Drosophila melanogaster: one gene and its partners. The protein of the gene in region 3 interacts with the protein of the main gene of each other region in a pairwise test. Each region holds a gene or a part of one and is shown on either strand. Other genes may lie near its edges.

Region 1 (7,580 bases), on a different chromosome or scaffold from region 3:
CCCCGGGCAGCTCATTAAAATTGCATGCTCGGTAGGAGCAGAAAATAGGAGGAGACTGCCCCTGTGGCAGTAAATGGCTCACTTTTGGCAGGCGACTTTCCAGCACGTCCTGCCACTACAATTTACAATGGCAGGACATCCACAGGACACGGAGCTGCATGCCACCCTAGTTGCGGAACCGATGCGTTTAATTGTGGCTCAAAATGGCCCAAAAAAAAAGGGACTCACAACCCCATGCGGACACATATCAATCTGGTCGGGATAACTCGCCCTCCCGCTGTGACTTTCACAAAATATTTTGGTTGTACGCAGTGCAATTATGGACAAGGTGTGTCGAAATGCCAGGACACCAAGATCCTCGAGGTCCTTAGACTGCCTGCGGCGAAGTGTTGCAAAACACGGAACACAAGTCCTACGGTTGACCACCCGACCAACTCGGCCAGATAAGACTAAGGTTAAGGTTTGGCCAAAGTCAGCAGGATATGCATGGCCAAGGGGGCGCGGCCAGGATACTTGTCAAAAGTAATCCTGGGCAAAAAAAAAGGCATCTATGTAGACATCAATTGGCGAATACGTTGGCACTTTTCTGGCACGAAAACAAAGCAAATCAAAGCCAACACAATGAGAGGGCCCAAATCAATTGTACATGGCCATAAGGCCCGAGAGTATGTCATCAAGGTGGAGAAAATGGAAAATGGAAATGCTAATGGAAATGGAAATCGAGCAGCAAATGAGGCAGATGCAGACCCCTCATGCGGGTTCCCCCCGGGGGTAACCAGAACGACCTCAGGCCTCAATTAAAGACAATCCTATGCTCGATTTTGAGACAAAGATCACAATCTGAAATTGACAGTTCTGAGTAAGAAGCGTGCTAAGAGAAATGCAATTGCCAATGGAAGAAACTAGAAAAGAAAACCACCATTAAAGGAAATCAAACATACCTTTTGCAAGGCATTTGGCACGTTCCCGATTTTCAAGAGAAGCCACAATGAAAACTGAACTAAACCCAAAACTGAAACACAGGCCATAAATATTTGGACCACACCTCAAAGTTAAACAATAACCATAGTGTTACCGAAATCGAAACCGATTCATGACAAAATCATAGCAAAACTGACATCAAATTCAATTCGATTCGATTTCATAAATTAACTTCTGCGACAGTTTGAATATTTTTGGTGGCGAGACTTCTGCTTACTTAATCGGCAACCTGAAAAATAATAGAGCTGCTTAAAAATGCGCAAATCGAGATCTGCATAAAAACTGAGTTATATTCGGATGGTTAATAAATTTTGACAGCTGCTGTTTGATGGTTCAACTTATATGGTCCTACGAGTTCAGTCTACTGAGTTATATTCGCAGCATGAGAAAATTCCCAAATCGGAATGGCGTGGGATTTAGTCAGCGGATAAGAAAGATTTCAAAGTGATTAAAAGTAGATCAAAATCATTCAGTCCGCTTGGAACTTGAATCAGTCAGTAGGTGGTAGAAGGTAATCAAAAAATTGCTGCTTAAATCTTTTCAGATAACTTTAACTTAGTACACCATAAAGATTATCAAGTTGCCAGTAGAAGTAATGATAAATCAAGGCGAAATTGCCATTGCCAAATACCTGGAAACACAAAATCCACCGTATTCATAAAAAGTCTTATTAAATTTCAGTTGAAAATTACTTTGCGTTTATATTTACGTATTTTTGTGATAACTTCATATCAATACGAATGTTTCAGACATACATATAGACGACAATGAGATCGTTGTGCATAGTCACAATTGCTATAGCGACAATTAAGTTGTTAAGTCTAAACAGTAAGTAATCATGACACTCGTCGGGGTTTAACATTACACAATCGATCGATTGATTTATTCAAGTACTATTTAAATATAATAATTAAAACAGTCTTTCAATAACCAAAGCGGGTTTGAGGTTTGTTTGATTGAGCTATTGTAACATAACATTTGGTTTACTCCATAAGCACTACGAACTGAATGGGCTACTACGACTATAAGGTACATACAATAATAGTTAGATTACAATATAAATTATGTGCTATTTATTAAAGTTTATAGTTTACAGTTGTGTGTGTGTGTGTGTGTTTTGGAATCGATTTGTAGGAGGCTTGTGCTAGCAATACTTTTCATTGGATTTTTCATCAGTTTTCCTCTGCTATTTGACTTTGGCATTTGTTTAACGCAATTGGGATCTGCTACATAGAACCGATTGCACGGAGGATGACTCTTCTGCTCACTGGGTTGCGATTACGAGTTGCTGGCGAGGATTTTCCACTTGCACCTTTGGCCAGAATGCGGGCTGGACTCGCTTGGTTTTCCATTCCAGGCATTTCCCATGCCTGGCGGACGTCCAGCTCTCTGAATCTCTTTTAGAATGTCTCAAAAGAAACCGGATACCGGGTTTCGCTGGTCCTTCAATCTATCTGCTCATGATCTCATCGATGGTGAAGCCCAGCATCCGCTTGGGCTTCTCTGAGCTCGAGGATGACGAGGATAGATCCAGGACAGGCAGATGCTGTGCCAAATTCTCAGGTTGAGGCGAACTCAATGCCTGGTTTGGCACCGAATGTGAAGTGGCTGGTGAGGTGGTCACCACCACCTCCTTGGTGCTCTGCTCGCTGTGGCTCTGGAGGTGACTCTTGAGGTTGGCCCGCTGGTTGAAGCTCCGCTGGCAGATGGGACACTTGTGCGGACCCTCCTCCAGATGGGTGACCTTGTGCACGGCCAGGGTGCGCGACTGGCAGAAACCCTTGCCGCAATCGCTGCACTTGAAGGGCTTGTCCTTGGAGTGGATGTACCGGTGGTCCCGCAGATGATCCTGTCGCCGGAAGGCTTTGCCGCAGATGTCGCAGGAGTAAGGCCTCTCGTCCGTGTGGGTTCTCTCATGGATGAGCAGATTGTACGACTTGGTGAACTGCCGGTTGCAGTACTTGCAGATGAACTGCTTCTTTGGCCGACTGCTGCCAGTTGCGCCGCTGGGTACACCACTCGCTCCACCGGCACCACCCAGTTTCAGGGTGGGCATGGCTCCGAAGTGGCGACCCATGACCGCGGCATGCAGACTATGGAGGCCAGCGGGATAGGGACGCACATGATGCGGATGTGGGTGAGGGTGGTGCGGATGGCCGTGGTGGTGATGATGGTGCGGATGTTGCTGCTGCTGCTGTTGCTGCTGGTAGATGGCTGCGTTGCGGATCCAGTGGTTCATCAACTGCTGGTGCACGGCCACGGGATCGGCGCTGGCTGTGGGATAAACTGGATACTGCTGTGGAGCCTGATGTTGTTGCTGCTGCTGCTGCATCTGCAGCCACAGGCGGTGCTGCTGCTGCTGTTGCTGCTGTTGTTGCTGCTGCTGGTAGTGGGCCATGTGTCGCATGTGCAGCTGGGTGGCCACCGCCTCCTCGCTTATCGCCGGATGCACTCTCCTCAGCGGCTCCTCGGTGGGCGTGTGCGGGGGCGTCAGCATGGGGGAGAGACTTGTCTCGCGCTCCTCCTTGATCACTATGAAATCCTCTTCAGCAAAGTCTAAAAAGGAAGGAATAGAAATGCCCACGGTTAGTTTTCAATTCATATAAATGCAATGCTATGTGAGACTACTTTCAAATATTAATGGAACATTTTTTGAAACTAGTCAAAAAGTGCTAGAGAGTAATGCGCTTTGCCGTCGGCATTTGCCAAGTTGTTCTGAGCCAGTTTTGAACTTGAACCCACCTTGTTCTCTGCTTAAGTTGAGCTCGTCATCCACGGTTATGTTGCTGATGGGTGAGGCCGATGTGGAAGACATTATACTGTCTTTGTTGGCCTTGTGTAGTTTTATTTGGCTTAAAATTGTTTAGTTGCGCGAACTGCACGGTTCACTTTGGCTTAGCACTTGTATCTACGAATGTATCTTTTCTCAGTATATTTCCCAGCTGACTGAGCGTTCTTTTGGATGCGACGTGCCACCGACAACGTCTCGACACAAACTGAATTCGTTGGCCGTTCGCCGCTCTCCGACTCAAACGCTTGAGAATCGAAGTGAAACGAGGCGAGTGGAGTGCTGATATTCCTGTCTCGCTTCCACGTTTGAGTGACTCGTGTTGCTGTTGTTAGTGTTGCTTTTGCTTTTGCTTTTGCTGCTGCTGCTGCTGCCGCTGAGCGATGTTGCTGTTGGGAGTAGCGCTCGTTAATAACTGACTGCAACTGCTGGCAGGGCGACCCGTTTTTGAACCGGCCGAGAAGTGCGGAGGAGGGCGACGAGGGTGGCGAGCGGCCCGACCAACGGCAGCTGCCTGTGGCGGGGTTGAAGTTGTTTGGAAATGGTAGATACGTCCACGCCTACCTGCTGCTCTCGGATTGGCCCTCAGCGTTCGGTATCTACTATCCCATGGATGTGGCTCCGACCGAATGTGCCTGTGGATGTGCATGGATATATGTGCCTTGGCTTTTTCCGTTCCAGCAGTAAGCAAGCGGAAACCGTTGGCCTGACGGTCGCAAGCCTGGGATATTGTTGGTGTTGCTGCTGCTGCCGATGTTGCTGCCGTAGTTGCTGCTGCTGCCGTTGCCGTTGCTGCTGCTGCTGCTGCTGCTGCTGTAGCTGCTGCTGCTGCTGCTGCTTCTGCCGCTGATGGCAGGCAGCCATCGCTGGAGTCCAGCCCGCATCCCAGTCCCAATCCCGAAACGCAGCCCTCCCAGGCGCATGTGCCATCAGCAGGAGCAGCAGCTGCACGAAGGTCCTGTGTCGTCCTGGCGCGTCCCTTCCACCTCCATTGCCATGTCCATACCCATTCCGCGCCAGCTCTCGCTGCTCCTCGTGCCTTTTTAATGTCGTGCTGTCTGCGCCGCAGGATATTGTAATCTATTGTCCCTGTTTGTGTTTGCGCCTGATTCGTTTTCACTTAAATTTTAATTTGCAATACAAATCAGTTTTTTTTATTCCCCCCCATTTTGCTTTACACTTTAATCTGGAATTCAATTAGCCGCTTCAAAGCGATGGCGATAAAAGTTTCGAGTGGGTGGAAACGGCCGTTTGTAGCGAAAATTGATTGGCTTTTAAAAGGGTTTCCGGCAGGATAAGCCGGACATATTTTACAGCAAATTAACGACGAGTTTGAGGTAATGGTAATGTAATTGAAAGACTTTATTAAAAGGATTGTACACAATTACTGGTTAGTTTTGGGTATGCCTTTCACACACCATTTATTTTCGAGTTTTTTTAATTATTTTACTCAGTATTGTATTTATTGTAATTCAGTTGTTTAAGTAGTTGTTAAGTAATAGTTGAACTTTCACCGTTTTCAACTGAAGTGCGACTCGAGCTTGTCAAATCATCTTTAATGAGTTCCTCATTCGAAATGCTTCATGCTACTCACTTGGATAATTATTTAATAATTTGTAATTGAATCGAGACAAGCAGGTGCACTTTATGGGCAGTTTTCTTAACATATTTTGAAGGAAATTGCTTGGAAACTAGAAATAGGTAAAGTCATAGGAAAAGGTTAAAAGATATAAGTTCTGCGGGTTGAATGTTTCCAATCAAAATTTATTGAAGCATCAAATTAATGTAGTTGTTATTTATAGGATATTGTAGTTAAATATCTTTACAATTTTTATTATTATTATTCGGGCTTCTATATAATTAATATTTTTCATATCTCATTTAAAAAGACAAATATTTCATAGCATTCAAGAAAATACGAATTTTCCTCATTAATGAATAGTTTTAAATTGCACATGCCATATTTATGCTTCCGAATTAAATCCTATTCTTCGGTTGGATTTTCCGCCAACTATAAGATATTTCCCAAGTCCGACAAAACATGGATAATGCATATCCTATTATCCTGCTTCCGAATTCCGTACATTCCCATGACTTTGACTTGTCGACTTTCCAGGTGAAGCATTTCCGCAATGGATCTGCGACTAATCCTTTAACTTGGCAAAACAAGAAACATTCCCATTGACTGGTTTTACCCGTATACGGACTTAGGATCCGAGGATCCTGAGACTAAGCCCATTGCGACACACTCCGTCACAAGCGGTCCTTGGCAGGATTGACTTTGGGTGATTAAATTAAGCAATATGTACACAACATTTAGTACAAACTTTCCCAAGCGGCGGCGAGCCAATGATCAAACAGCCTGAATCAATAGGCAAAGGTCCTGCTGCAGGACGTTTTTTCCCAGAGTGCGTGTGTCTGGAACTCTCGGATTGTCGATTTTTGATTTTCGATCCGTTCCAACATCGGATCGGATGTACCGTCGGTTTGCCAGTGTCGGTTAGCTTTAGCCTCGGCGTTTGGCAATTGTCGCCGCTGTTGACGGTTGGCAAACAGTCGGCGAACTTTTCCATTTCAAAGTGACGGCCCGGACTCCGCCCACCCTTTCGGTTCCCTGCCTTTCGGCCTGTGGAGTCGCGAGCGGTAATTAACATCATGTCATAAGTGTACAAAGGCAAATAAATAAATAAATAGATAAACACCAGCGGAGTGGAGACACATGAAAGACACAGGCCGAATATTTCCCAGCACATGATATATGGCATCGCACTGGCTGACTTCCTGCTATATCCATTTGTTGTCGTTACTAATATTGTTACTATTGTTGTTGCGCCTGTCAACACATGGCCAAAAGGATTAGCCCTCTCCCGGGGGAAACACATGTCCCACTATTTGCATGTGGAAAACGCGAGATTTATAGTAGAGAGATCCTCCGACACTCGGAAACGGAAACCAAATCGTAGGGATGCGGAAAGCAGGAACGATGGCCATAAAAAATAATTTGGAAAGACCTGAAACGCTTCCTCCGCGCCAAGGACCTGCACCAATAAAGAAGTCATTGGCTCGGCCATAAAGCCATAAAAAACTATAAAACTCTCGGCCTGCTCGACATTAGTAGTCTGCCATTGTTTTGCGGAGGTCCTGGCCTGCGAAAAAAAAATCGAAAATCGAAGTACAAATATGTAGAGCGTAAAAAATATAACAACGAGAGCAAAAAATCACAAAATCATCATAAACCGAAAATGACAACTTACTTAGTCGCTTCTTTGGCATCATAAAATCGCCCAAAGACACTTCGCAGAAGACCCTTGGTTCTTGACTCTCGGATCTCCGGACTGTGACCCGGTTTTTAGCAATGTTCTTTCTGTTTTTTTTTTTGGTCTGCTCTTTTTTTGGACCATTGCCATGCATATTTTATGGTATTTTTTCGTGTTTCCACGAATAAAATTAGATTTTTTAGAGCAGAAATGTCAGCTACGCAGTGCGCGAAGTCATCGGTAATAATTGTAAAATGACTTTTTAGTGGGCCATATGCCAGGGGTTTCGCTATTCCACCAAAATCACTTTTTATATTAGCCGTGGAAAATAAAGTAGGGCTCTTTTTTTTGGGAATCTCGACTTGGTGACCTTCACTTGTAGGGAAATCTCGAAGTTTTTCCTTCGAATCGAACGTCTTTTGGCTACTGAAAGAAGTCATCGTAGTTTTTGGTGCATTCGAGGAAGTAATAGTAGTGAGGAAATGTGTTTTATAACCAGACTTCTACTAAAAAATCACAGTTAGGAATCAAATGTATATGATGAAGGTATCCGT
Region 2 (8,183 bases), 5.6 Mb from region 3:
TGTGGCCGAAGGCTGAGCTCGCCCAGATCCGCGGACCCGCCGCCGACGTCGTCGCTGCCATCTCTGTAGTCGCGATGCGAGTGGTGTCCATACTGGCGCCCGTGGCCATGGTGGTAGTCCCGATGGTGCTGTTGCTGCTGGTGGTGGTGCTGTTGATGCTGCTGGTGGTGCTGCTGATGCTGGTGATGGTTTTGGTGGCCGGCATGGTGCACCTGATTCTGGTAATGGCTCTTGCCCGCTCCAGATCCTGAACCCACACCCGCTCCCGATCCTCCGCCGGCGCCGCTGCCAACTGTGCCGTCCAGCGTGGGAAATTCGTACTGGAACTGTGGACTCTGATAATGGGGGACCACCTGCTGTTGCTGGCGTCCATAGTTCTGACCGCCCGAGCCCCGCTCGTGTCCTGTGGTAATTGCAGACCATGTCTTGGGTGAGTTGACTGAGTGTCCGCCCGATCCTGACCCTGATCCACCTCCTACTCCTGACGATCCGCCGCCGCCCGACCCTCCTTGTCCGCCTCCGCCGGAACTGCCCACGGAGTTGTTGATTAATTTGAAGTTCTTGTTGCCGCTGCCTGAGCTGCCGGCGTTGTTGTTGCTGCTGCCGTTGTTGCTGTTGACAAACTTTCCGGCGTTAGGGCCGAGAGCGACGTTATTATTGTGCTGATGCTGGCTGTGAGTCAGCTGCTGGGATAGATGGCCACCAGCAGATGAAGACGCAGTTCCTCCGCCGCCTGATCCCGCTCCGCCGCTCGTTCCTGAACTTCCGCTGTGGGCAGTGGTGTTGTTGTGGCTAGTGTTGGTTCCTGCCGCGCCAGATCCCGCTGCTCCGCCTGCGCCCGCCCCACCAGATGTGGCTCCTAAAATGGAAAATTCACCCAGTTAAAGGTACATCTTAGTACACACGCTTTCAATAAGATAAAATCGTAGAACACCCACCTTCGACTGAGACTAAGAGATTGTTGTTGCTGCTGGTGTGGGTCTCGGCCTTCAGGGATGGCAAATTGGCTGGTGGTCGCCTAGCGGACGGCACTTTGCCCAAGATTTGCATTCCATGTTTACGTGGCACTTGATTCTTTTGTGCAGATGGTTCACTTGACTCGCCCTGCAAACAATAAGAACAAGTTGGCGATCAGATAGGTTTGGATCTATCAAGATCTAGATGTAGATCTAGATCTAGGTCTAGGGGCTCGCTACTTACGCGGCTATTCTTGTACATGCGATTTATATCTAACGCTGTGAATTTGGGCTTGGCATTTCGCTCTCCCCTACTTCCCCCCAGTGTACTCATGCTGCCAATAGATCCTCATTAGCGTTAGCTTCCTTCTCGCCACCGCCGCGCTCCTCGTCTTCCCGCTGCGCTGGAGGATGGGCTAGGATGTGGCTGTGGTTCTTGACGAGAATGAGTTTAAGGAGCTGGGATCGCTTTTGGGCCGAAGCTCCTTGTTTCAGTCTTTCTGGTGGGCTGCAAAATACAAAAGCGTAGATAGGCATTTAATTGAGTATAGGTGCAGGCGTAGCGAGGCGAGGCTAGTCAGTTGCAAGTGGGTGGTGCTCCCGACAAATTGTTTTCAACACGCTGGTTATTGTGTGTCCGGGAACTCCTCTATTTAGCCACCCCCAACCGATCCGCACCACTAACGCTTACAGAGGTGGATCTGTAGCGAAAATTGGTTCTTCTTAGAAAGATATTGCAAATAATTTGGAAAATAACCTCTTCAAACAATAATAGGTATGGGTTTCAACTAAACCGAGTTTTAGTAGAAATGCTTTTGATATTTCATTTCCACTGAAACTAAAGAAGTTTCTTGGTAGTTTTCCAACACATGCTGTTGCGAAATACGTTCAAGTTCTTAATGCTTCGTTAAAGTAACAACTAGAGTGTAATTCCATTCGACTACTACCATTCGAAACTGTTTGTAGAATCATTTGGTATTTTGTTGATATTGCGTTTATTACGAAAACGTTTGGGGCAACTATTTCCCAGTTTCGCTCCCCCCTTTGATCCGACACTGAATGCAGGCAATGTTTGGTGCGAGCAGGACAGCCAGTGCCTCGCAGCACACGCAACTGAGAGGCTGCCTTGGGCGGGTGACAGCGGAAGCGGGACAGCTAGATAGATTTACCCACACACACACACCAGCGCCAGCAGCGGCAGAAGCGGCAACGCATTGAAAGAATTTTTTGCGGTGGCGTCTTGTAATAATTGCGGCAGGGGGCGTGAAGGGGCGGCCGAACAATGGCTGACAACTACAGCAACAATAGAAAAAACGGGGCCAGTAAAATCCTCGCAACAAGAGCGACAACAACAAAGGCCGGCATTTAAAATGTAACCAATTTGACAGATGCAAGTGGGGGGAGTACAAGACAATCTAAACGCTTGGCAACAATTCTATGTCTCCTTTTTGTAATAACAACCATTCACAAGCACAACGCACACTAACACCACGCAGGCACAGGCGCACACATCACGCACACACACACACTTACGTTCGCAGAAACCGAGAGGATTTGATAGTTATTATTTAATCGACGAGTGCAATTTTTTTTTTTGACCACCTTTTGTTTTACAGCCGTATCCTTTTATTAATTTTGCATGGCACAGTGGCTGGCAAAGGCAAACAAAGAGGAGAGACGAGTAAAATATACCGTTTAAACAGCACGCACGCACACAGCAATACACTCGGGGAGTTTCGTTTGTTGGGCAGCGATGATAAACTGAATGGAAAACGCTTGAATTTGTTTACTTCGAATGTTTCGCGGTCTGCTGGCACACTTGGCCGCCTGTATGTTGGTTATTTAACTGTTAACTTCGCGGAAATTGATATCTTTTGATTCTGCTTTTCACCGTCCAACATAAAGTTTGCCGCTAATTCTTCTTCCTCGAGTTCTTCCTCTACCACTTCTCACTTTTCGAATGTATTGCGTGCGTGAGTGGTGTGGAGCGCGGCGTTGCCACCTGGTCCGTTGGGATCCAGCCAGACCGCCGAGTGAAACTAATTCCGGGGGTGGCAGTCGCCTGGCAATTATTAAACAATTAGAGAGCGTGCTATTTAGCGATTAAACGGAAATTAACACGGACTCTATGCATCGATGCCGACAAAAAGAGAAAACGGACCACGATGACCTGCCGACGACAAATGCAACGCTGTTTGCGATATAGAGCGGGACAACATGACTAGCTGAACTTCCCTCCCACTCCCACACGTCGAATTTGACAGAACCGACAAAAATATTTCTTTGATACAATGCGTATTTTCTACAAACAAAATCACAGATTTACAAACCCGCTGTGCAATTAAACATAATTTAGCAAACAAATCTCGGTTCCGGCCTACTTCCAGAGCGAGAGCATGAGAGACCATAGAGCTTACCCTTTCGCACGCAGAGCACACACCGCAAACACAGTTCGTTGCTCCTTGGCTTCTTTCTTTCCTTCGCCTTTTTTTTGCACTCTTTCTGGCGCTTACTCAGCGCCCGTTTCGCCGCTTGTTAAAACACGGGACGAAAACAAAAGAGAGCGCAACCAAGACGAGACGTGCCGCTGCTGCAGTTGTTGTTGTTAGTCGCCTTTGTTCGCCAGAATCTTCGATTTGGTTGAATTTCGATTTCGATTTGGTTGCGATTTTCGCTATGTTGCGCTGGCTTTGTCAGCGCTCTCGCTCCCACTCACTTGCACTGCGCTCTCCCACTCTCCGCTCACTCGCGCCGTCCCTCTCGCGCGCTGTCGCTTTTTTGCAAGTGTAGGTGGAAAATGGTATCGGGTGAGGAGGCTTCGAGTAAACCCGTTTGAATTCGCTTTTTCCACGGGTTTTTGCCTTTCCTTCGCTAGGTTTTAGCTCTGCACACACACTACACACGCACACGAGTTGCGTTTCTTATTTGTTTTGATTATTTGCGTTGCGTTCTTTTCACGTAATACGTAATTGTCCATTAGTTTTAAATCGTATGTATTATTTTTTTGCCATTTTACGGCAAGCGTTGCCAGAGTTGTGTGGGTCGATTGGCGTGCTGCCTGACCGTCCGCAGAATGCCATCGTTTTGATGTGTATCCAGCGATATATTAAGTTTCATATTTTCGATTTTTAATTAATGGATAATCGTTTACAGCGTATTTTGCAGACAATTAAAAACGTAGACCATAAATTGTAAGAGAAATTAAAGAGAAATACTCAACGATCAGGGTGGCCACCCCGCAAAAAACTCCTGAGATGAAGTTTTGCCATTCACAATTGGATTCTGTTATCGATTCACGATAGGTGAATTATGTTGTTTACAACGAAAAACTGTTTAAATTTTTTATTTATTTGACTTTGCGTTGTGGTTCTGTTCGCGCGAAATGATTTGTCGCCTTTGCCTGCGATGTCTTAGTCCCGGAAGCGCTGTCTTCCTCTTTGAGACGGACGATACGCTTGCGGAGACGCGCCTGGTCAAGATGATTGCGAAGTTTCTGCAGCTGGAGGTGAGTGTATCTGGCAAATACCAATGGTATCAAAACAATTCCAATAAGCCATCCCATGCAGATCCTACCAGACGACGGCATCTCGACCAGCGTCTGTACCGAGTGCTGTGAGCATCTGGAGGACTTCAATGGCTTCTGGCAGCTGGTGGAGCAGAAGCAGTGCTCACTCAAGAAGGAGTTCCTTACCGTGGACGTCGACTGTGCGGCCATGAAGTGGACGGGCGGTGTGGACGTGGACGTCAACATCGACGAACTGCCGCTGGCGGCTGGCGACATGGACGAGAAACCGTTGGACCTGCACAACCTTAGTCTGCTGGGAAGCGTGCTGGACGTGAATGTGGACAGTGTGGAAGTCAGGGAACCGATCAAGGAGCAGCTGCCCTGCGAGGAGGAGGAGGACGAGAAGCCCTGCCTGCAAGCTAGTGATAGCGAACCGGAGGTGACCGAGGGGCAGCCGGAATCTGAATCTGACTCCTCAGATGGTTATTATCTTAATGTTTCCCAAGGATTAGCCGTAACTAAGTTCCTGTTCCATTGCAGATGAACCCCTGGTCCGTCTGAAATCGAAAATGAAGCCCAAGCGCAAAACCTCGGCACGTTCCTCCAAGGATCAGGGTCCGATATCGCTGCAGCAGGAGCTTGCAGATCTGCTCGACGATGGTGGCAAGCGTCGGCGCAGGAAGGCACCTGACCAGCGAACAACCACCGAGTCGCAGGAGTCCGAGCTACAGGCCGTTCTCGAGCGCAAGCCCAAGGGCTGCTCCCGTGCTCAGCTGGCCAAGAGCTACGAGAAGGCCATTGCTAGCTACATGAGTGCAAGCTGCGACCTGTGCGAATTTAGTGCTCCCTACCTATCCGAATTGAAGACCCACTTCCTGGAGGTGCACCAGCGCGAGTACTACATCAAGTGCTGCGGCAAAGTCTTTACACGCGCTTCCAAGCTGATGGACCACATCCGCAAACATATCAACCCCAAGCTATTTACGTGAGTTTGAAGCCCGAGGGTTCTGTCTGTTGCTACATAGACTTTAAAATCCCATAGCTGCACCATTTGCAAGAAGTCGCTCAACTCGCAGGACTACTTGGCCACTCATATCGAGACGGTGCACAACAAGGTGGCTCAAATCGGCAAGGTGCTCAAGTTCCCGTGCCCCAAGTGCGAACGCACCTTCAGCAGCGAGCGCCGTATGGCCAATCATCTGGCCAAGCACGACACCGATCAACTGGAGCACACCTGCGAGATCTGCTGCAAAAGGTGAGAATAGAGCAGGGTCTCTGATCGAATTGGAATTCTTGCCCCATATTTGAATTAGTAATCTTTATTCATTCCACACGCAAATGAGAGGGATAGCTGTCTACTTATTCCGCACTCACACTGTTTCGAGAATAGCAAGAAAGAAATAATTTTTTTAAGATAAAAAAACTGTCTTGCAAGTTGAGTATTTGATATGAAATTATCTGTTACAGCTTTGCCAATGTACACCGCCTGCGAAGGCACATCCAATCCATCCACGAAGACCTGCATCGTCACGTTTGCGACATTTGCGGGAAGAAGTTCAAGTTCAAGCCCTCCTTCGAGCGCCATTTGCTGGAGCACCAGGGCGTCGTGGCCCCGGCTGTGGAGTGCCCCATCTGCCGTGTTTGGCTGAAGAACGAGCACAGCTTGCGCCTGCACCGCTTCACACACGACAGCACGGACACCGTGTGTCCGCATTGTGGCAAGACCTGCACATCGCGCACAGCGCTCCGCGGTCACGTCAAATATGCCCACAAGCTGACCACCAATCTGCAGTGCACGTTCTGCGAGAAAACCTTCAAGCAGCAGCGCAACCTGGACGAGCACATGGCCATCCACACGGGCCTGCAGCTGTACAACTGTCCGCATTGCCCCAAGGAGTGCCGTTCCCGCTCCAATATGTATGTCCACATTAAGCAGCGTCACGCGGACGAGTGGCTGCGCGCCAAGATGGCACGCTCGCACAATCCGCAGTTCAAACCGGCCGACGTTTAAACCTGACCCCTCACAATTGTGTTTAATCATTATACGTATAATTAAACTGTACTTCACTGGTTTCATTCTTATTAGAGGTATTTGTAGCGGACAATGCTTGTTAGAGGTAGATTATAAGATCTTTATTGAATCACATAGAAAAAAAATATGTAATTTTATGTGGAGCACAGATGATTTTTTGTTGTATGTATGATCCGTTGATCCGTTCATAAAGACGGATAACATCTCCAGGTGTCCATTCGATCAGTTTTGCAGAAGTCTGTCGAGCGAGGATGCGAGTTCTTTGGATATGGCGTCTGGAAACTGGATGGAGAACCTGACGACGATGGAGCCGCGACGGGAATTATTAATGGAATCGGGCAATCCGTAGCCCAGAATGCGGCGCACGGATTTCGGACTGATTACCTCGCCCACGTCGGTCTTGAGTTCCATCGGCCTGCCAAGAAGCGTCGGCACCATCACGTGTAAACCGCACAGAGCATCCTTCAGCGAGATTTCGGCTGTGTACAGCAGATTGTTGCCATCGCGGCGAAAGATTGGGTGTGGCTTGTCCCGGATTATAAACACGACGTTGGCGGGCTCAAGGTTGGGCAGTTGAATACCCTCATTGGGAAAGCAGATCTTGGTGCCAGCCTTACAGCCCGGAGGTATCTTGACAGTGAGAATTCTGTCATATTGTACCCCATCAACGCCGTTCCTACCCGAAGCCCGGGAGATCTTCATGCGCCTGTTGCACCCGTTGGCAATGTCCTCCAGAGCAACGTATATTACATGTTCGATGCTTGACTGGGGTGACTGTTGTTCGCAACGACGTTTAGGCGCGCCCGCTCCTCCACCCAACAGGACGTCATCGTCGCTGTCAAAATCGTTTTCGATATCCTCGAAGAACGTAGAATATGATTCGCTGTTGTCGAAGAAACGTCCAAAGTTGGCCCGCGGGTTGTTCTGGCGACCACCGCCACTGCCACCGCCACTGCCACTGCCACTGCCACCACCACAGCTACCAAATGCCGTTCCATCGCCGAAACCGCTACCTTGATTCGCGGTATTGCGTCGGGTACCCTTGTCATTGCGGGAGTCGTACGATCCGCGCTTCTTTTTGTCTGATAGGACTTCATATGCCTTGGCCACCTGCTTAAAGATCTCCTCCGCCTGAGGGCTCTTGTTTTTGTCCGGATGGTAGCGCAGCGCTTGCTTATGATATGCCTTGCGGATTTCGCCATCATTGGCAGTGCGCTGGATGCCCAGTATCTTGTAGTAGTCTTTAGGCATGGTTTTTTACTCCAAATGTTTTACGTACACAGACGAACAAGTGCAACTCCTTCGAAAATTTAATCGAATTGTAAAAGGTATTGTTCCAATCAGAATGTTGCTTAATTTGAACAACACTGCTACGATTACTATATGCTTACTATTTATTTATGCTTCGATTTAGATTTTATAGCCTAACGCCCTTTCTTTTAGTTTTTCTATTGGTCTGATTTTGGTTAACTTATACAACAATATTTTCGCTGCATAACTTTAAAAAGGGAGTGGGACATAACAAGTTTTGAATTCAAGAACCGATTACTTTCGATATTTACCGCCATGCTCAGTGCCATGGTTACTCAAAAATCATCGATTGCTAGCTGCGCTCATACGATAGTTGCCATCGGGGGTCGCTCATCACTGCCGGCATCAAACGGTCACATCACTCTCAATATTAATTGAT
Region 3 (7,792 bases):
CGCATCAAGGCGACACTCTATTGCTGGCTCAACCTTAAGAAGTTCCCATTCGATGAGCAGCACTGCTCGACGGTGCTGGAGAGTTGGATGTACAATACGTCGGAACTGGTCCTCCACTGGGAGCAGAAGCGTCCGATAACCTACGATGGGGCACTGCATCTCACCGAGTTTGTGCTGCAGCGTTCCTGGTCAAACGAGACGGTAATCAATGCCGATTTGAGTGACCTGCGTCATGGAGCCTTTGCCGGCAACTACAGCTCCCTCAGCTTCACCGTTCACCTGACGCGAGTGGTTGGCTTTTACCTGATGGACTACTTTCTACCCTCCATGCTGATTGTGGCCATATCCTGGGTATCGTTCTGGCTGCAAGCAGATCAGGCGCCGCCGCGCATCACGCTGGGCACCAGCACCCTGCTGACATTCATTACCCTGGCCTCGGCACAGGGAAAGACTCTGCCAAAGGTTAGCTACATCAAGGTGTCAGAGGTGTGGTTCCTGGGCTGCACCATCTTCATATTTGGCAGCATGGTGGAGTTCGCCTTTGTTAACACGATTTGGCGTCGTAAGAAGAGTGTGCCCGTCAAGAAACTGAACAGCAAACACATCCTGAAGTCAACTCTATCGCCGAATCTGCTCAGACGACGCAGTCACGCCAGATCCAGATCCTTTTCGGGCACGGCTCTGCATAAGACAGCGGATACCGGCTCGCTGGGCGGTGCCGGTTTCAACAATTACCTAACCGTCAATTTGCCCATCACCACGATTAAGGAGGGCCAAGTTCTGGATCAGCAGAGGACCAGCCGCGTCGTCCAGAAGATGGATGTTAACTTTGTGGAGAGTGCCTTTGGATCCATGGGCTCTGCCCAGTCCACTGGAGCGATCAGTGCTGCCAGCAGCAGCCAAACTTTGACCAACAATAACCGAACGGAGAGCGCGGGGCACCAGGAGGAGATCGATCTGAGTGGCTGGACCACGCTAACGCCCCAGGAAATAGCCATGTGGATTGATAGTCGAGCCAGATTCGTTTTTCCGCTCTCCTTTCTCGTCTTTAATCTGTTTTTCTGGACATTTGTCTACTGTATTTAAAAAAAGGTCCATTTCATTTTATTATTAGATTACACAGTAGATTTAATATTGTGAAAAGTATCCAATTTAAAGTGTTTATTATTTGTACCCATCGTTTAGCATAGTTTGTTTAATTATTGTGAAAGTTTTGTATTATGTTTGTTTCACTTTGTTCTGTAAAATGATTTTATATTTATTCTGTTGTAAAATAAAGTTCATGATTCTATGGCTGCCTAAAAAACACCATCAATTATTTAAATAAAATAACCTATGATAAAATAAATCTTTCGGACTTGCAATTAAATATTAAATAAATAATAAATTAAAAAACTTGTTTTCAACAACGATTCCATTACCCGCCTCGTTTTCGATTACGGAAATCGATAGAAATATCGATAGGCCAGGCCAAGGAGCACCGGCCAAGCCAACCTGTGGGTTAGAGCAGCACAACTATACCGCGTATTCTTATCGTATTCGTTTTTTCCCCACACATACACACACACGGCTCACGCATACAGCGCAACAATAACATCGGGCCCCAAAAAAAAGGGAAAAAAGACGACGGACAAAAACTTCGTCGTGAATTGTAAAATACAAAAAAAAAACGCATTCGAACGCGCTGGTTTGTTTTTTTTTTCACGTGTAACTACGCCAAAAAAAGGGCAAAGGAATTAAGCAAAAAAAAGAAGCAGAACTTCGAAGCAGCAACAACAACAGCGCCGCATTTTTGCTTGTATGTGCAAGTGCAAGGCAAACATAAACAACGCGCGTGTGTGTGTGTACCACGAAAATATCGTATAAATCAAATTTCTATATCATTTATATAGTTTTTTTTTTGTTTTTGCCATCATAATATGCCATATAGCGATCACCGAAATCCAAACGCAAACCAAACTCCAAAAAGTTAGTTTCAAATACAACCACACATCGTTTGGATCGTGTTCACAAACTTATAGTAGGAAGGAAAAGGAAAAAGATAGAAAAAAAACGAACTAAATAATAATAAACGAAAAAGAAAAACGGCGCTGAATGTTAACCGGTAAAGATAGCGGTAAATTGCGAGGGAGAAGGACGACAACAACAACAACAACGACCGCAGAGGGGGCAAAAGTCAGCAACAAAGTGCATCCTCCTTCTCCTGCTCCCCATCCTATTCCTTATTTACTGTTATAATGGACACCATCTGTAGATTGTGCTTCCAAACGGCAACGGTATGTTAACAAAAAAAAAAAGATATACACACATGTGATTTAGGTATATACACTTTGTTATTTCTATTGATTTTTTTTCTTTTGGTGGAGTTTAAACAATTGAATTCGCGCTACTGTTATTGTGCGGGCGGGTTGTTGGCGCAGGGGGCGGGGTTCAAAAGCGCGCGCATTGCCCCCCTTTCCCCACACACATACAAACGCACACACACAGAAATAAGAAATACACATACACATGCGACCCCAAACTATTGCTGAACAATTTTTATTTTTAGCCAACTCAGCCCGAAAAGTTGTTCAAGCCGACAACTTGAAAAAATATTATTTTTACATTTTGCTTACGCTCGCCACTCGCTTTTCACTTTGACTCCTTTTCAACCTATTCCCCCGAACAGGCCCCCCTCTTTCAGCCCCCTCCCGCCGCCCATGAACCGCACAAAAAGAAATACATATTAAAACAAAATGACAGAAATTGCGCCAAGGCAGCCAAATACGCAGTGGCTGCGCGTTAATTTAGTGACAGAGGGTTTACTATATTGGGCATCTAAGCCCAAAAATTTAAAGTTAAGCGGTTATAAAACTAACAAAACAGATCTAACTTTGCTTGGTTTTTAGTTCATTATTTAAACAATTACCAAATAACCCCTTTTTTGTAGGCGACGCCTCTGCCGCCGCCGCTGGCAGAGCGGCGGCAAAGCAAAACAAAAAGCGAAAGAATAACAAAACGTTGTACCGAAGAAAAAAAATAACATGAAATGAAAACAACAACAACAAAGCAACGAGCTGCTGGTGCTGTTGTTATTGTAGTTTCTTTTCTTTCTTTTTCGCTCTCCATGTGTGCGTGCCTGTGTGTGTGCGTGTGTTTATCTTCTTGGCTCTTATTTCTAGTTGGTGGAAAAGAGAAAGGGCTAGTTGGCATGGAAGGGGGAGGGTATGTGTGGAATAAGATTGAGTTGCCACAATAAATAAAGAGCATTATTGGTTTTTTTTTTCCAATTGGAAGCACTCTCTAATTCACGTGTCCTGTTCTGTTCTATTCTATTCCCCCGCCCTACAGTTGTTCCAGGTGCCCGGCTATAGCATACCCACGTGCGTCCGCTGCTCGGAGCAGTTGACAAATAATTCCAACTTCCATCAGTCGGCGGCGGCCGCTGCAGCCGTCGCTGCCTCTGCCTCGGCCGCAGTTGCCGCCTCTGCAGCAGCGGCGGCCACCTCCTCGTCGACGGCCTCCTCCAGCGACAGCGACGCCATCGCGCAGCAGCAGCAGCATCAGAATCCGCAGCAGCAGCAGCATCAGAACTCGCAACAGCAACAACAACAACAGCAGCAAATGCAATCATCCAGTTCTTCCGAGAACCTACAGTCGCAGGACGACTCCGAAGACGTAAGTCCATTTCAGGGATTGGGATACCAAGGCAGGGAGAGTGTTGCAAAGGGCATAGTGAGTGGGTTGCACTACGTGTAGTGTTACGAGAGGCATGGCAAGAAGTGGCAGCGAATACAGTGCTGCAAAGGGCTTACTAAAGGAGATAAATAAAGTAAATAACTGAAGGTCGTTCTTATTTTCAACTAAAATATGAACGTCTTGAATATGTATATTAATATCTATGAATAAATTTAAAATTTAATCCTAATGTTTAATAGTCCACGAAAAGTGTTCTATGGTTTAGGAATCCAATCAATGCAATTGCCCATCAAACTATAAATGATTCAAAAAAATTGACAATTTAAACCTAATTACAGAGTTCACTGCAATCCTCAGTAGATGCATTGCATTTGGAATTATAGGGGTTTGAAGACCCCCATCAACCGTTTTCAGAAGAGTGCTTTACTTCCCAGGGAGTTCGACTCCTGCTCCTTTTGCTGCACTTGTTTATTATTGTTGTGCTATTTTCTCTTCATTTTCTTACATTTCACTACTACTCCCCCGCTCACAAAAGTCTTACATATACATATACATAAATGCACACGGACACACTGCACATTCATAGCCGCTGCTTTTCTTCTTCACTTCTTATTTCGCCGTTTCTTTGCATGTTCTTGTTGCCTTTCTTTTTCCATCATGCAACAGAGAATTGCAAAAAAAAAAAATGTATAAATAAATGTAAAATTGCCTTGCGACGACTTGGGAATGCTCTATTGCAGACATGTTTAGATACTATTTACTATTGCTGCTATTTACATAAATTTCAAAAAAAAAACTTCAGTACAGTCTCATTCCATCACACAGTCGACGTGGTAGTGTTGGAAAGTTCTTATAGAAGATTAAAAACGGTAGGCCCTACAGATATGCATTACAAACGGGTTAGAAAAGTGTTGAGCGTGAGAGTATTTTCTATTCCACTTGCTACATTTCGCACTGCTCATTTTCTTGTTTTCCTTTATATTTATATGTATATATATATATATATATAGATATATGTATATACACATATATTTTGTGCTTCTTTTTCCATTAATATCTGCTCTGTCGACGTCGACGTCGAAGTCGACGCAGCTCGGCGTTTTTGTGCGCTGTGTAAAGCGGAAAAAATTCATTTTCAGTTGGCGCTTTTGGTGTGTGGGTGTGCGTGGCACGCAGAAAAATAAATAAAATAATTATAATAAAAAAAAAGCTCGTGAAAAATATTAAATGTAACTCAAGTGATTCCCCAATAAACAAACTGAATTCGCACGGGAATTTGCAATCCGTTCTTTTGGCCGCCAGCTTGTTGAGCGTGAGTGGGAGTGGGAGGGCGATAGTGACACAGTGATGTGCACTTGGCTACTTATTCGTTAGAACTATATGCATATATAATGTACAGCTTAGAAAAAAGGTTTTTCGCATAAATTTATAGTAGGTTGTATTAAAGTAAAATGGCATATCATATATAATGCCTTTCTGATGGAAGGTAACCCGCGGTAGAAGGCAAGCCCTTTGCAACTAATGTTCGATTTGTTTCTTTAAGGTGGATCTGATATTCAACGAGGAGGGCTCCTGCCCGCTATGCAACAAAACTTTCTCGCGCAAATCCTCGCTCATGACGCACATACGAAATCACTCGGCGGAGCGTAAGTTTGTGTGCACCTACTGCCACAAAGGTGAGTCCCATATGCCGTTCGCACACATCATCTGGTTCTTAACAATCGATGTACCTCTTGGATTTTCAGGCTTCACGCAGGCGGCCAACTTGCGGAACCACGAACGCATCCACACGAACGATCGGCCATATCAGTGCGTGGACTGTGGCAAGACCTTCACGCAGATCACCAATTTGAACAATCACCGCCGGCTGCACACCGGCGAACGGCCCTTCGTTTGCAATGAACCGGAGTGCGGTCGCAGCTTCGCCCAGGTCAGTTCCAAGATAAATTGATAAATTGCAGAGGATTTATGATAATAACGGCTCGATATGTTCTCGCATTGCAGGTGACGAACCTGAACAACCATATGAAGTCGCACCACAAGGTGCAGCAGTACTGCTGCAACGTGTGCAACAAGAAGTTCACGCAGGTGACCTCGCTGAACCAGCACCTGCAGGCGCACGCTGGGGTCACCGGCTACTACTGTCCGCGTTGTCCGGAGAAGAACTTCAAACTGCAGTCGCAGCTGCATACGCACATGAAGACCCACGGCCTGGCCTTTCCGTACGAGTGCGACAAGTGCGACGAGAAGTTCCTGCAGCAGGCCCATCTCGACCAGCACCTCAAGATGCACGACGAGTTCAAGTTCAAGTGCGACATCTGCCCGAGTAGCTTCAATCAGGAGTCGCTGCTGAAGAAGCACGTGCAGCGCCATGTCGAGGGTCGCTACCTCTCCTGTCCGGTGGCCAATTGTGCCGAGTCCTTTGCGGTGCGCCAGCACCTCTCCAAGCACCTGCTCACCAATCACGCCCACCACGAGCTGCCGCCTCCGAAGCGATCCAAGAAGGCGGGCACGCTGCAGACGTCGCAACAGCCGCTGGCGATGATCGGCCAGCCGTTGTCACTGCAGCACACGACAGGGCAACGTAAGTGCTCACCATTCACTCATTCACTTTGAATCTCACTACGCCTTTCGTTGCATATCCAGGTGGGCGTCCGCCGAAGAACAAGAACAAGGCGACAACGCTGGCCGCCACGGCCATCAAGATCGAGATCAACGAATCGCTCCACAGCCAGCATATCAGCAATGTCAGCGGCCTGTCCATCCAGCAGCAGATCAATCAGCACATGCAGCAGCAGGCGGCACAGCAGCAGGCGCAGCAGCAGGCGGCACAACAACAGCAGCAGCAGGCGGCGCAACAACAGCAGCAGGCGGCGCAGCAGCAGCAACTGCTGCACTTGCCGATGGGACAGGCGGTCAAGGCGCGTTTCATACCCACTAAGTAGGCTAGTTAAGAATGGAAAGAAGGTCTCTTTTAGCTTAAGCCCCGAACGATCAGCTGCTAAAGTCCCTGATTAGCATAGCCATAGCCAAAGTAGCATCACATTCAGCACATACACACGTAAAATATGTTAGATATATGGCGCGGATGTTTTGGAGTCTCTGCAGATCTCTAAATACTTTTGGGTGTCTGAAGTTGATGTAGAAATCATTCTTTATATGCGTTACCCGTGGAGTTAAGCGTATGCTGGATTGGTGAAAAAAAGGTATGGAACAGGCAGTAGGAAGCGTTTTCGTCCTTGAATTCTGAATCAGAATGGAATGGGGGAGTTAGTCGAGTTCATCGATTAAAGCTAGCTTTTAGTTTTTCTGAGATGCACTTGTCCTACTCTCGCATTGAGTTCAGCATCAACTTTTTGGGTATCAGAATCCACTTAATTATCTTGAAATCGGCGAGTGGACTTCCAAAACATCCCGAATTTAGAGTCGGCGGCAAGCTGCTGGTTCAGTTTGGTGTCTGTCTCCCACTTCCTGTTTTGAATTCAGCAGCCAAAGCAATAGAGGAACCAAATGCCCCTGAATAAATTTCCAAGAATATTAGCAGCAATGCATGACATCGAAAGAGATAAGGAGAAAAAGCAGCAGCACCAGATGGACAGACAAAAACACAACTGACTTATAAAATTATGCACATAACACCCACATCTATATATACATTATATTATATAAACATGAGATCGGGTTGAGAAATCTGTAAAACTTAAATCGAATTAAAATTTTATTGTAATGCAAAGGCGCAGCGAAACGGAAAATATAATGTTGAAAAAACAAAAAAAAAAAAAAAACAGAAAGCAAATACAAATTACCTACAATTGATAGTAATTACGCATAGAGAAAAGTAACGAAAACAAGAAGTGAAAAACAATTCGATTAAATTCGGTATGTATTTATGTTAGGCATTAGCTTAAGTGTTTTTATTTTTTTTTTAATAAACCATTACAAAAAATCAACATTAAGAAACGAAAACAAGCCGACAAATTTTCATTACAACGAAAGATTTCTTCTGAATGGGTGAAATTTGTTATATATTTTGAATATATATATATAAATATTTCAGAAGTGACACAAGCGATCAGTTTTATATAATACATATATGTATATATAGTTTATTTGC

Evidence for each region. Proteins that work in one complex are often made in the same cells at the same time.
Region 1: the proteins of CG32772 (region 3) and odd interact in a two-hybrid assay, tested with the Drosophila melanogaster proteins (one large-scale study listed by BioGRID).
Region 2: the proteins of CG32772 (region 3) and CG2889 interact in a two-hybrid assay, tested with the Drosophila melanogaster proteins (one large-scale study listed by BioGRID).

The regions. Positions count from the first base shown.
Region 1 is NT_033779.5:3,602,563-3,610,142, forward strand, and holds odd (odd skipped), read right to left. Parts: upstream 4,195-7,580; 5' UTR 3,797-4,194; coding exon 3,724-3,796; intron 3,538-3,723; coding exon 2,432-3,537; 3' UTR 1,662-2,431; downstream 1-1,661. UniProt on the Drosophila melanogaster protein: Pair-rule protein that determines both the size and polarity of even-numbered as well as odd-numbered parasegments during embryogenesis.
Region 2 is NC_004354.4:10,470,680-10,478,862, forward strand, and holds CG2889 (uncharacterized protein), read left to right. Parts: upstream 1-3,258; 5' UTR 3,259-3,406; exon of another isoform or gene 3,407-3,996; intron 3,997-4,036; exon of another isoform or gene 4,037-4,109; 5' UTR 4,110-4,338; coding exon 4,339-4,461; intron 4,462-4,522; coding exon 4,523-4,943; intron 4,944-5,001; coding exon 5,002-5,446; intron 5,447-5,503; coding exon 5,504-5,716; intron 5,717-5,928; coding exon 5,929-6,472; 3' UTR 6,473-6,522; downstream 6,523-8,183. Other genes in the region: nocte (no circadian temperature entrainment), read right to left, coding at 1-859, 939-1,104, 1,201-1,290; CG2887 (uncharacterized protein), read right to left, coding at 6,716-7,744.
Region 3 is NC_004354.4:4,907,522-4,915,313, forward strand, and holds CG32772 (uncharacterized protein), read left to right. Parts: upstream 1-1,580; 5' UTR 1,581-1,798; exon of another isoform or gene 1,799-1,930; 5' UTR 1,931-2,237; coding exon 2,238-2,276; intron 2,277-3,330; coding exon 3,331-3,657; intron 3,658-4,859; exon of another isoform or gene 4,860-4,990; intron 4,991-5,221; coding exon 5,222-5,354; intron 5,355-5,423; coding exon 5,424-5,608; intron 5,609-5,682; coding exon 5,683-6,262; intron 6,263-6,324; coding exon 6,325-6,623; 3' UTR 6,624-7,640; downstream 7,641-7,792. Other genes in the region: CG6927 (uncharacterized protein), read left to right, coding at 1-1,086.